Linked DNA regions of Anolis sagrei. The protein of the gene in region 1 interacts with the protein of each later gene in a biochemical or structural test. Links are inferred from orthologs where the notes say so. Each region holds a gene or a part of one and is shown on either strand. Other genes may lie near its edges.

Region 1 (7,170 bases):
CATCCCCAGAGGTCACACCTTACAACCTCTGAGTGTGCCTACCATAGATGCAGGTGAAACGTCAGGAGATAATGCTTCTGGAACATGGCCATACAGCCTGAAAAACTTACAACAACCCAGTTCTCACATGGGCTCGCACAAAGACACAACCCATAGTCAATGGGAAATGGTTGTTGGTTTGCTTCAAAGTGGAATCCAGTGAGGATTATTATTATTATTATTATTATTATTATTATTATTCAAAAGAGGATCTGATTATGTTTGAGCACTAAGAAAAAAGCCACATTTTCAAAAGTGCCAATCCCATTGCCAGGCTTGCATTGCGAGTCAAAGAGAGACAGGGGGGGTGTAGCTGCACTGGCAAACTAATGCAGTTTGACATCACTTTATCTGCCATGGCTGAATGCAATGGGATGCCGGGAGTTGTAGTTTGACGAGACAACAGCACTCTTTGCCACAGAAGGATAAAGACCTTGTAAAACTATAATTCCTATGATTCCATAGCATTGGGCCACAGGAGTTAAAAATGGTGTCAAACTGCATTAACTCTGTGTTGCCGAAGGATTTAATGGCTGGAATCACTGGGTTGCTGTGAGTTTTTTCTGGCCATGTTACAGAAGCATTCTCTCCTGACATTTCACCCACATCTATGGCAGGCATCCTCAGAGCTTGTGAGGTCTGTTGGAAATTAGGAAAATGAGGTTTATATATCTGTGTGATGTCCAGGGTGGGAGAAAGAACTCTTTTCTGCTTAATGCAAGTGTGAATGTTGCAGTTGGCCACCCTGATTAGCATTGAATGGCCTTGCAGCTTTAAATACTGGCTGGTTGCTGTCTGGGGGAATCCTTTGTTGGGAGGTGTTGGGAAGCTGCAAAGCCACTCAATGCTAATCAGGGTGGCCAATTGCAACATTCACACTTGCCTCAAGCAGACTAGAGTTCTTTCTCCCACCCTCACAACCTCTGAGGTGTCTGCCATAGATGTGGGTGAAATGTCAGGAGAGAATGCTTCTGCAACAACAGCCTGGAAAACTTAACGCAACTCTGCAGGAATTCTTCTGAAAAATTGTCCATAAACAAATTCACACACACAGACTTGATGACCAAACATTGGTGTGGTTATGACCACTTAACTAGAGATCTCTGGATTTTTTTTCTATTTGGCCCATATAAACGAAATATCCAACTTAAGTGGAAAGCAAAAGTAGACTCCATGTATCAGGAGAAAGGTGGGATAAACATAAATAAAATAAGAGATATACCAACAATCCCAGAAGCTGAATATAAGTGGGATGACCTGATCCTTATCATCATCATGTGATGTGAGTTTTCCAGGCTGTATGGCCATGTCACAGAAGCATTCTCTCCTGATGTTTCACCCACATCTATGACAGTTATCCTCAGAGGTCTATATATCTGTGGAATGTCCAGGGTGGGAGAAAGAACTGCCATAGATGTGGGTGCAATGTCAGGAGAGAATGCTTCTGGAACATGGCCATACAGCCCGGAAAACTCACAGCAATCCGGATATGAAAGCTTCAACAACACATTGTCATTACTGTCAATCAATCAATCAATCAGGCAACAGAGGGTCACTTACACATTGAGCAGCTTGGCTGCCTCATACACGCCGACTGTGATGGTTCTCTGAGTCAGGGCTTTGCTTAGGACTTCTTCCAAGGCGTCTCCTACTTTCTCCATGCTGACGGAAAAGTCCCCAAAAAAGAAGGAGGGAGAAAAAAAAGTCAGCCAAAAAAAGAAGTTACACCACAAAGGAAAAAAAAACCCATACGCCGCCGTCCTGGCCTTCAAGCTGACCTCCAGCCCATCCCAGACATGCAAAACATAGACTTTTTTAAAAAAATGCCATTAATCCAAAGGGAAGAAGCAGCGTCTCTGGAGAAACCGCAGTCCTTGATCTTCTCACGTGGAGAGACAGGCAAGAGACAGCCCAACACTTTATGGGAAATGGGTTCCTTTTAAGTGTCAGCAAAGGTGGTGCAATGCAAGGAGGGCTTTTTTTTTAATAAAAGAGGAGCTTTTGAAGCAATCCTAACACTTTGCAGATAAATAAGGAGCTGTTAGTCACTTGGGGCTTAGCCAGGTATGGCTTTGGAAGGGAATGATCATGCCAAAAGGGGAAAAAATCCCAAAAATCTTCCACATCCTGAGTTTTCTGCCCCTCACACTGAAAAAACAACATCTAAATTGCATCCTGAGGACCTTTGAAGCAATCCTAACACTTTGCAGATAAATAAGGAGCTGTTAGTAAATTGGGGCTTAGCCAGGTATGACTTTTGAAGGGAATGATCCTGTCAAGAGGGGGGAAATCCCACAAAAATCCCTGACTTTCCTGCCCCTCACATTGAAAAAACATCTAAATTGCATCCCCCCTCACGCAGCACTATTGCATTGTGCAATGCAATGGTGCTGAATGGGGGAGGATGCAATTTAGTGCAATGCAATTTGGGGGGAAAATCCTAATACTTTGCAGATCAATAAGGATCTGTCAGTAACTTCAGCAATCCATGGGTTGTTGTGAGGAGGATTGATCTTGTCAGGAGGAAATTCAAAAGGAAATTGCACGAATCATCACAATATAATGTAGTTATTATTATTATTATTATTATTATATATGCCACCCCGTTCTCTTTTCTGCCCTACACCCCACACTGTATTTCTCCCCTTCAGGCACTTTTGCAGAAGACAAGGCAGAATGCAACCTTTGAGAGAGAGAGAGAGCTCTAAAAAGTCCTGCTTCTCCTTCCCTTCCCAGAACTCCCTTTCCTTGAAGTACCTTCCCAGTGCTTGGTGCTCCCCCGCCAGCTCTTCCAGAGTCATGTTGCAGCCTCGCGCCACTTGCCACCAAGCCAGAGAGGCCGCCTCTCCCTCCGGAGCCCAAAGCCGGTCTGAGGGACAAAGGGCTCCCCGGGCTGGAGTTATCCTGCCAACCCCGCAGCCAATCGCCGCGCGGCTCGTTTGCATGCGGACACCCGATTGGGCCATGCAAATGAGCCACCGCGCTCCGCTTGACACCCCCCCCCCCCCCGCAACCCTTTCCCCTCGCCCGTCCTGCGTATCGTGTCCTCGGCTCCCTTCGGCTGGGAGAACGGGCTCAGTCACTTTCCCCGGCCGCCTCCGCCGCCGCTGATTGGAGGAAAGCGTTCGGAGGGGCGGGGCTTATTGAAAGAGAGAGAGAGAGAGTTGTGGATGGTTCTCCCCCTCTCTCTTTTTTCTCTTTCTCTCTCCCCCTCTCTTTCACTCACTTTTTTCTTTCTCACTCCCCCCTCTTTTGTTTCTCTCTCTTCCTCTTTCTCTCAGTTTCTCTCACTCCCTCTCTTTCTCTCCCTTTTTCTTTCTTTCTTCCTCATTCCCTCCTGTTTTTTCTCCCTCCCTGTTTCCCTTTCTCTCTTTTCTTTCTCTCTCCCATTCCCTCTTTTTCCCTCCCTTATTTCTCTGGCCTTTCCCCCTTCCCTCCTTTTTTCTCTTTTTCCCTTTCCTCTCCTTCCTCCTCCTTTTCCCTCTCTTTCTCCATCCCTCTTTCCCCTTTTCTCATTTTTCTTTCTCTCTCCCCCAACCTCATTTTCCCTCTCTATTTCTCTTGTCCCTCCCTCCTTTTCTCTCTCTTTCCCTTTTCTCTCACTCCCTCCTTTCCCTCTCTTTCTCTCCCTCTTTCTTTCTTCCTCATCCCCTCCTGTTTCTTTCTCCTTCCCTCTTTCCCTTTCTCTTTTCTTTCTCTCTCCCCTTCCCTCCTTTTCCCTCCCTTATTTCTCTGGTCTTTTCCCCTTCCCTCATTTTCTCTCTCTTTCCCTTTTCTTTCTTTCCCCCTCTTTTTTCCTTTCTTTCTACATGCCTCTTCCCCCTTCTCTCATTTTTCTTTCTCTCTCCCCTAACCTCATTTTCCCTCTCTATTTCTCTTACCCCTCTCCCATCCCTCCTTTATCTCTCTCTTTTTCTCTCTTTCCTCCCTCTCCCCCCTCTTTCATCCCCTCTTTCTTTCTTCCTCATTCCCTCCTGTTTCTCTTTATTTCTCCATCCCTCTTTACCTTTCTCTCTTTTCTTTCTCTCCCCCTTCCCTCCTTTTCCCTCTCTATTTCTCTTGCCCCTCTCCCCTCCCTCCTTTTCTCTCTCCCTTTCTCTCTCTCATTCCCCCTCTCTCCCTCTTTCTCTCCCTTTTCTTTTTCTTCCTCATTCCCACCTGTTTTTCTTTCTCCCTCCCTCTTTCCCTTTCTCTCATTTTTCTTTCTCTCCCCTTCCCTCATTTTCCCTCTCTATTTCTCTTGCCCTTCTCCCCTCCCTCCTTCTCTCTCTCCCCTTTTCTCTCAGTTTCTCTCTCCTCTCTCTCTTCCTTTTCTTTCTTTCTTCCTCATTCCCTCTTGTTTCTTTTTCTTCCTCCATCCCCCTTTCCCTTTCTCTCATTTTTCTTTCTCCCCCTTCCCTCCTTTCCCCTCTCTTATTTCTCTTGCCCCTCTCCCCCTACCTTCTTTTCTCTCTCTCTCTCTTTCTCCCCTCATCTCTCCTCCTCTCTCCCTTTCTTTCTTTCTTTCTTTCTTTCTTTCTTTCTTTCTTTCTTTCTTTTTCATTCCCTCCTGTTACTCTTTTTTCTCCATCCCTCTTTTCCTTTCTATCTCTTTTCTTTCTCTCTCCCCTTCCCTCCTTTTCCCTCTCTATTTCTCTTGCCCCTCTCCCCTCCCTCCTTTTCTCTCTCTTTCCTCCTCACTTTTGCTCCCTCCCTCCCTATCTCTTTTTCTCTCCCACTCCCTCCCTCTCTATTCCTCTATCCTCCTCTCTCTCTCTTTCTCTCCATCCCTTTTTTCCTCTCTTTCTCTCTCTTTCTGTGGTTCTCCTGCTTCAGCTGTTTTTTTCCTTGTTAGTGTACATTTTTCCCCTCCTCTTTGTTTAGAGAAAAGGGGGCAGGGATTTGACCCTAAGCTTCTGTTTGCAGGCCTCATGCTTTTTGCAGATCACCCCTTACAATAAATAGTTGTTAGTAAGCAGGTTATAAAAGCCAAAGGAGAGCTGACACTTTGCAGTCGGTTTGTTTTTTTAACTCAGTCACTGCCCGACGCTTCTTGGAGGGATGATACGTCTACTATATAGATTTAATGCACTTTAATTGACACCAATTGCCATCTCTCTTGGGATTTGTAATCTGGAGAAGCACTAGCACCCTTTGGGCCAAATAAAGAGCATTTATTTATTTATCATACCAGTAGCGAATTGAGGGTACAGTTGTACAAACTAATACCCATACCCCAATAAAGACCTTGTAAAACTACAAATCCCATGATCCCACAGCATTGAGTCCTGACAGTTAAAGTGGTGTCAAAGTGCAGATTAATTCTAGATGCACCCTTAGTTTGCAAACCGCAGTTGACTCCTATTCTATTTTACTATTGACCACAACCAAGGTCCTAGGTGCTGCATTGTTATAGACTAGTTATGGGCAAACTTGGGACCTACAGGATGTTTTGGACTTCAACTCCCACAATTCCTTAAGCAGTTGAGGGGGGAAAGTAAGAGACCTGAGGCTGTTAGCAATTGTGGGAGTTGAAGTCCAAAACACCTGGAGGGTCCAAGTTTGCCCATGCCTGTTATAGACTGTTATGGGTATTATTACGTAGATGAGATGTAGCTACTTGCATGATGGGAATTTCAAGACAAGTTTGTTTGTTTTTTTCATGTCAGGAGCGACTTGAGAAACTGCAAGTCGTTTCTGGTATGAGAGAATCGACTGTCACACCAGATAGGGGACACCCAGATGATTGATGCTTTTACCATCCTTGTGGGGAGCTTCTCTCATGACCCCACAGCTGGAGTTGACAGAGGGAGCTCAATCTGCTCTTCCTAGATTTGAACCGCTGACCTATCGGTCAGCAGTCCTGCTGGCACAAGGGTTTAAACCATTGCCTCACTGGGGAACAAGTGTAGAGTTTTAATTCATTTTAATATTTTAATGTTGAATGGTTTCAACAGCGAAATGGTTTATTTCCCATTAAAAATATTTTATTGCCTTTGCATTGTTTTAATGTGCATTTTTTTGTCGTGTCAGGGGCGACTTGAGAAACTGCAAGTCGCTTCTGGTGTAAGAGAATTGGCCGTCTGCAAGGACGTTGCTCAGGGGATGCCCAGATGTTTTGATGTTTTATCATCCTTGTGGGATGCTTCTCTCATGTCCCCACATGAGGAGCTGGAGCTGATAGAGGGAGCTCATCTGCGCTCTCCCCGAATTCAAAACCGTGACCTGTCGGTCTTCAGTCCTGCCGGCACATTGTTTTCTATTTATTGTTAGATGCCTATATCAAGTGAGAGTATAGGAGCCCCCAGTGATGCAGTGGGTTAAACCCTTGTGCCGGCAGAAGTGAAGACCCAACAGGTCAGAGATTCGAATCTGGGGAGAACGTCGATGAGCTCCCTCTGTCAGCTCCAGCTCCCCATGCAGGAACATGAGAGAAGGTGAAACATCAAAACATCCGGGCATCCCATGAGCAACATCCTTGCAGACGGCCAATTCTCTCACACCAGAAGCGACATGCAGTTTCTCATTTAAAAAAAAGATGAAAGTATAATATTTTTTTAAAAAAACAATACATTAGGTGTTTATGTTGCAGAACCTGTGTGAGAGAGAGAAGTCTCTTTGTATTACAAGGGCTGTACACAGTGACCTTAGGGGATACAGGTCTTTGGGAAATCATCATTTGGTCTGCAGACAGTAATCTCAAGGGGAATCTCTCCTTTAGCAGATGCTTGACATGTCTGTAAACGCAGACCTTTGTGGTACTTTTCCTGGTCTCCCACTCTGTGGTTTTGTTTTTTTAACTACAGGCCTTCAGCTATGCAAGGAAAGTTGTTGTGTTTTTTAATGATTTGTCAACAAGTCTTTTCAAATGCCTTTTTTCCACCTGGAGAATAACAACGGCTCGACTAAGAGCTGGGGTTTTTTTTAATTTTTGCAGAAAGAAATCTAGATGTACATCTGTGCCAGGCCTGGGCAAACTTCGGCCCTCCAGGTGTTTTGGACTCCAACTCCCACAATTCCTAGCAGCCGGTAGGCTGCTAGGAATTGTGGGAGTTGGAGTCCAAAACACCTGGAGGGCCGAAGTTTGCCCAGGCCTGATCTATACTGTAGAATTAATGCAACTTGACACCACTTTAACTGCAGTGGTTGAAT
Region 2 (7,121 bases), on another chromosome or scaffold:
TCAGGGCCATGGGAACTTGCATTGAGACCCCTTCTAGGGCCCTTCTACACCACCATATAAAATCCACATTATCTACTTGGAACTGGATTATATGGCAGTGTAGATTCATATAATCCAGTTTAAAGCAGATAATGTGAATCATCTGCTTTGATAATCTAGATTATATGACAGTGTAAAAGAGGCTAATGTATTGATTGTCTACTTGAAAGTTATGTAAATAATCTGCAGTCATAATTTTTATTAATTTATGAAGCTGCCCAATCCTTTACACTTCCCTTCGTGACTTTATTCTATAACCCTTCCGAGTCTTTCCCCCCCCCTGCATAGTGGTATAGTGTCATCTGCATATCTTAAATTGTTGATATTCCTTCAGTGTTCACTCCTCTTTCCTCCTGTTTTAGGTAGGATATATTCAGCATAAAAGTGATAAAAGGCGGTTTTACCTGACCTTTCTGGCAACTGGAAACCACTCTGGGCCCTCTACATTGTAGAATTAATCCAGTTTGACACCGTTCAGTGCCATGGGTTCATGGGTTTTGTAGCTTTACAAGGTCTTTCACCTTCTCTGCCAATGAATGCTGATGCCTCACCAAACTACAACTTCCACGCTTCCTTAGCGTTCAGCTATGGCAGTTAAAATGGTGTCAAACTAGATTAATTCTACAATATAGATGCACTCTCTGTTTGTCCACATTCTGTCCACATGGACAGAATGAGAATAGAGCAGGACAATAAAATGTTGCAGCCTTAAGAGAGATGTATAATTTTGGGGGAAAAAATCACATTCATAGGTTTGCTATCATCTATCTTTCTATCTATCTATCTATCTATCTATCTATCTATCTATCTATCTACCTATCTATCCATCCACATAATATATATGTGTGTATGTGGCTAGGGTGTCCACTTACAGAGACAAGCTCCTGCCTCCACAAACAGCTATAGCTCCCACTGCTCAGGAGACACAAATGGCCCTCCCTCCAGTGACATTGAAGGTTATAGAGAGCACCATGAACATGCCCAAGAGCCAGGCATGTAGCCGGGGGGGGGGGGGGGGGGGGCTCGGGGGGCTTCAGCCCCCCCCCCCCCCCGAAATTTTCATGGTGGTTCGCGAAAAGGCCTTATTGGTGCATTATTTAAACTGTTATGTTTATTCATATCATGATCTGATCACCATACTCAATATATCCCATATGCATGGGGATATTGGGGTAATGATACAAAAGGTTTGCTAGGCTAGACCCTCTTTCACTCAGACTCAGCCCCCCCCCGAAAATCAGCCCCCCCCCAAAACCCCCCCTGAAAAAAAATCAGCCCCCCCCCCCCCCCGAAATGAAATCCTGGCTACGGGCCTACCACGAGCCCTGTCAGTGTCTTCCACAAACACAAGCCTGCCCACCACCCAAGTGAAAGCTTTCATATGGGTACATTTTCACCCTAGAGTTTCTGTTTTTCCTCCACCACAGGCATCCCAGTATTTCTGACTCTTTCCATTAGTGTGGAATTTGCATGACCCCACCCACTGCCTCTCCCTTAACCCTTTCCTATTCTTTTCTCTAGCACACAGAAGCAGAGGAATTGATCAGAGAGGTTTGGGGAGAATTCACTATTATTTATAGAAGCTGTAGGTACTGGGATGTATAGTTCACCTGCACCCTAAGAGCACTCTGAACTCCAGCAACTATGGACCTGGAACTAACTTGGCACATAGAACCCCCATGACCAACAAAACATACTGGACTTGGAGCAATTTATAGGAGTTGTAGTTCACCTACATCCAGAGCGCACTATGAACCTAAATAGCGATGGATCTGGACCAAACTTGGCATGCATACCTGATATGTCAAAATTTGAATACTGGTGGGTTTTGAGGGGAATTAGCCTTGACATTTTGGAGTTGTAGGTACTGGGATGTATAGTACACCTGCTATCAACAAACACTTCAAACTCCATTAAAGATGTAATTAAACCAAGCTTGGCACACAGAGCCCCCATGACCAGCAAAAAATACTGGAGGTATTTGGGAGAAATTTACCTTGATTTGGGGGAGTTGTAGTTCGCCTACATCGAGAGAGCACTGTAAACCCAAACATCGATTGATCTGGACCAAACTAGGCACACAGACCTGATATGCGGAAATATGATTATTGGAGGGGTTTGGGGGAGTTGGCATTCCTTTCTGGAAGTTGTAGATCACCCACAACCAGAGAAACTGTGACTTCCACTAATGAGGGACCTCGACCAAACTTGGTGCTCAAAGCCCCATGACTAACACAACCTACTGGAGGGGTTTTAGGGGACTGACTCACCATAGTAGGAGTTGTAGTTTACCCTACAGCCAGAGAGCGAATTGAACCCCATCAATGATGCATCTAGACCAGTGGTTCTCAACCTGTGGGTCCCCAGATGTTTTGGCCTTCAACTCCCAGAAATCCTAACAGCTGGTAAACTGGCTGGGATTTCTGGGAGTTGTAGGCCACCAACCCCCCTCCCCCCCCCAAAAAAAACAACACCTGGGGACCCATAGGATGAGAACCACTGTCCTAGAAGAAACTTGCCCAACATAACAAACTTTTAAGTACTGATGGAGCTTTTGGGGTTAACCTGGCATAATGTGAGTTGTAGTTTACCCACTACCTTATGTATTTTGTACAATTAAAAAATAGTCTTTTCAAATAACCCGGACAATGCCAGCTACCAAGCTACTAATATTTAAAACACAGGCTGATTTTCCTCTGCAGTTTTTAGAAATGCATTATCCAACATATCTTTGCAAGTATGTGTGTATGTGTACGTGCGTGTGTATATACAGTAGAGTCTCACTTATTCAACATAAACAGACCAGCAGAACATTGGATAAGCAAAAATGTTGGATAATAAGGAGGGATTAAGGGAAATCCTATTAAATGTCAAATTACGTTATGATTTTACAAATTAAGCGCCAAAACATCATGTTTTACAACCAATCCACAGAAAAAGCAGTTCAATATATGGTAATGTTATGTAGTAATTACTGTATTTAGGAATTTAGCACCAAAACATCGCAATGTATTGAAACAGCTGTGGATCCGGATGGGAAGCAGAATACGTTGGATAATACAGAACGTTGGATGAACAAAGGTTGGATAAGCAAGAATCTCTGTGTGTGTGTATACACACAAAAAGGGAAGGAGGGAGAATTTAAAAAGAAGAAAAAAGTATATCTCATGGAACACCAATTAAGTGAAAGTTTGTATCTCATCAGGTAACACTGAGAGTGCCATTTTGGGCAGCTTTATTTGTCAAACAGATCTAGAATCCCAATTAATTTGGGAGAAGGGGTTTGACACAGAAAATTGAAGAGTGAAGTTTAGTGTGATGCTGAGGAATGTCATATATGACTATGTATAAATGAATGGATGAGTATAGTGAGAGGCACAAAAAAGATGACTTTCATATATGAATATGTAAAGTGAATGAATTGATTAGTATAGTGAGGGGCACAAAAATATGAGTTTCATATATAAATATGTATGTATGCATAAATGACTGGATGGATGAGTATAGTGAGGGGCACAAAAAAGGATGACTCCCATGGTGGAAATGGGAAGATCTCAACTGTTGCTGCCACTTGCTTGAAATATCACATCTTCTCCTTTAAGGATCCCTCTTCATCCTAAACACCCCAAATGCAGTATGATAAATAAATTAATTGATTCAGTATGGGATGAAGAAGGATCCTTAAAGAGGACGAGAGGATAAAATGTTTAGAAGCTGGGAGGGAAAGGAGGAGGAGGAGAGAGAGAGAGAGGACATGGCCGAGGGCAGAGAAAGGCAAAGGGCGAAAGTGGTTGAAGCCCCACTGCTCTCACTCAGCTCATTCTTCGCCTCTAAAGGGAACGTCTACAAACTATCAGGAAATTTGTGCGGCAGAAGGGTGGCGCGCGTGACGTCACAGGCGAGGATTGTCAAGGCGGCGGAGGGAGGGGAGGGGGAGAGAAAGAGCGCGCTTTCGTCACAAAGGGGGAATTTCCCCCCTCTCCCTTGGAGGGAGTGCTCGGTGGGAGGGGTAGTCCAGGGCGAGGCAGGGAGCCGGGAGGAGAGGAGGGAGCCCGGAGCGCCGAATGGAACTCTGGGAGGCGTGACGTCTGCCCTACAAGCCCCGCCCCCTCGGCACAAGCTATATAAAGGGCGCCGCTCACCGCTTCGGTCTTTTTCGCTACGGGTTTGCCGCTGCTTCGGAGGTGAGTCTCTGCCACGTGTGTTGCGGGAAGGGGAGGAGGCCTGGGCCTAGGCCGGGCGGGGCCCACGTGTTTCCATCGGGGACAATGGCGTTCGACGCCTGAAAGGGAGGGGACTTGTGGGGGGAGGGGATGGGACACGCGTGTCAGCGCGTACACACGTTACGTGTATGTGAGAGGGGTCGGGAGGGAATGGGGGCTTGTGAGAGGGATTGGGAAGGAATGGGGGCTTGGGGAAAGCTTTTTCGGGAACGCGTGTCTTGCTTTTCCGTGTCGAGCTTGGCAAACACGTGTCTCAATTTCGGATTGAAATGCTGTCGTTTTGAGGATAGCGCGACGCTTTGTTTCTGCTCCTCATCTCGTCAATCCCCACTCCCCTTTTGTGTGGTTGTATTGGCTGGCCTTCGTTGTAATTGCGTTCCTGACGCCCTCGTTGTTGCATATTCAACTCAGCGTTCTTTTCTATTACTCTGTGTGTGTAATCACTACACAGAGTAATTGGGGCGCCTTTCCATGGGGAGCCACTGATGCCGCACTCCCTCTCGCCCTGCCTCTCTCTCGTTCTCTGGGAAGAAGCCTTTTGCCTTCTCTCGCTTCGCTGTGGGGAAAAAATGGCGGCGGCTGTCGCTGCCACAAAATGGAGGGCGCGCGGGCGGGGCGCGTGCCGGCCGGAGGGAGAAGGAGGGAGGGAGGAAGCGAGCGCGAGCCGGGCCCTTGAGTGCGCATGCGCGGCTTCGCACACAAAGGGAGTCTCGAGCCGCCCTCGCTCAGTTTTTCCTCTTTCTCTGCCTCAACCCCTTATTAACTGGGCCTTTTTAAACTCTTGCGGCCACGACGACACGCGAAAGACTTCGGTGAGGAAGAGTGGGGGGAGCTTGGGTTTCCGCCCCGCTGACGCAACGCCCCTCCTCCTCCTCACTGCCGCCACCTTGGAGCGGTGGGTGGAGTTGAGCAACTCGAGGCAGGCTTCGGGCCTAGCTCAGGCCTACACCTCAAACAGCATCTGCCTGCGCGCTTTCCTCTAACGCAATGGTTCTCAACCTGTGGGTCCCCAGGTATTTTGGCCTACAACTCCCAGAAATCTTAACAGCTAGTAAACTGGCTGGGATTTCTGGGAGTTGTAGGCCAAAATACCTGGGGACCCACAGGTTGAGAACCACTGCAGTAGATAAATATTTTGCCTTTTTGCGTATTGTTAATTAGCAGGCTCTGATCTCTTTTAATTTTAATTTTAAATGATTTTTTATTTATCCCCCCAAAAAACAAAAGGTTTTTTATCTGAAGCGGGCGAGAACCACCTTATTCATCTGCCAAAATGGGAAAGGAAAAGACCCACATCAACATTGTGGTCATCGGGCATGTCGACTCTGGCAAGTCCACCACCACTGGTCACCTGATCTACAAATGTGGTGGGATCGACAAGAGGACCATTGAGAAGTTTGAGAAGGAAGCTGCTGAGGTGGGTATGGCACCCCTGGTGTAATTTCCAGTCTAACATCAAAACAAGGGATTTTTGATCAATTATAATTTTTCTTTTAATTTTTCTGATATTAAATTTATTAAATGTTGGTGCTTTATGTAAAAAAATTAAATGGAATAAAAAAGGATGAGAATGTAAGGCTACATTGATGTGAACCTGTGTAGTTTAAGAGGACTGTTCCCTAGGTTTCAAGGGAAAATTAGTCTAGGGCCCCACCTACCCTTGCCAGTTCCCTTCAAACTGTGGTCCCTTCTACACTGCCATATAATCCATTTCAAAGCAGCTGCCCTGAGTCTGTAATGGGGTGGTGGTGATGCAATAAATCATTATTAAAGCAGATAATGGATTTTATATAGCAGTGTAGTAGGGGCTTGTGGTAGCCAGGCAAGAAACGCTCAGAAAAGTACACAAAAGGAAGCCCTTTATACACATCACTGGTTTGTGGTAATCGCCAGGCCCCAGGCTGATTTCTGTAATCAAAATGGCATTAAATGGTCATTGTAGATGGGGCCTCTCAGATCTTACATTATAGCTACACTATTTAATCTCTACTACAATGCAACCAGTATACTTGATTTCCCAAGTCTCTTCTGCTTGTATTTAAGGAGTTCATTTATTGTGGTAAATTGTAAATGGTAAACATCTAAAATGTGTAATTTTAAAAATGCACCACGAGATGTTTTGTGTATCTATGTCAGTCTTGTAGTCCTCCAGGTGCCAGAATTCTGGACTAAGGGACAACCTGACTAGGGCTTCTGGTAGTTGGGGTCCTAAAAACCTGCCGGGCTACATAAATATAATAATCTTCTGGCTTTAGTTTAGAATGGGATGCTTAGCAGAATTCACAAGTTAAATGGACATAGAAAATATATGGAGGAGCCAGTGAATGTGCCATGTATCTTGTCAGTTATTTGGCTGTTACATCTGTAAGCTTTGAAGTAGCTGTTAAGTAATTAAACAGTTCAGCACTGTATTAAGTGTCACTGGGTTAAGTAAGCAAAACAGATTTGGAATCTCACACTGCCTCTGCCAAACTGTGCTAAATATAGTAATGTGTGTATTACATTTCAGTGTGTTTGATGCTTGACGTCTTGAGCAAGTTCTTTCTGGCAACAGTTAACTTCTCTGTAAGATGTGTTAATCTAATTGCCTTTTTCTTGTTCAATAAACAGATGGGCAAAGGCTCCTTCAAGTATGCCTGGGTGTTGGACAAACTGAAAGCGGAACGTGAACGTGGTATCACTATTGACATTTCACTCTGGAAGTTTGAAACAAGCAAATACTATGTCACTATCATTGATGCCCCTGGACACAGAGACTTCATCAAGAACATGATTACTGGAACCTCCCAGGTAAGCAGATTATGGTGTTTTGGGAATCTAGAGTAAGATTTACCTGTGTTGAGAAAATACATTCAATTT

Evidence for each region.
Region 2: the proteins of GADD45A (region 1) and EEF1A1 form a complex in vitro, tested with the Homo sapiens proteins (2 studies listed by BioGRID). The link is inferred for Anolis sagrei from reciprocal best matches to the Homo sapiens genes GADD45A and EEF1A1.

What each region holds. Positions count from the first base shown.
Region 1 is NC_090024.1:164,764,231-164,771,400, forward strand, and holds the start of GADD45A (growth arrest and DNA damage-inducible protein GADD45 alpha), read right to left. Parts: upstream 3,025-7,170; 5' UTR 3,006-3,024; coding exon 2,797-3,005; intron 1,702-2,796; coding exon 1,600-1,701; intron 1-1,599. UniProt on the Homo sapiens protein: In T-cells, functions as a regulator of p38 MAPKs by inhibiting p88 phosphorylation and activity.
Region 2 is NC_090021.1:111,735,989-111,743,109, forward strand, and holds the start of EEF1A1 (elongation factor 1-alpha 1), read left to right. Parts: upstream 1-4,120; 5' UTR 4,121-4,223; intron 4,224-5,489; 5' UTR 5,490-5,535; coding exon 5,536-5,679; intron 5,680-6,872; coding exon 6,873-7,052; intron 7,053-7,121. UniProt on the Homo sapiens protein: Translation elongation factor that catalyzes the GTP-dependent binding of aminoacyl-tRNA (aa-tRNA) to the A-site of ribosomes during the elongation phase of protein synthesis.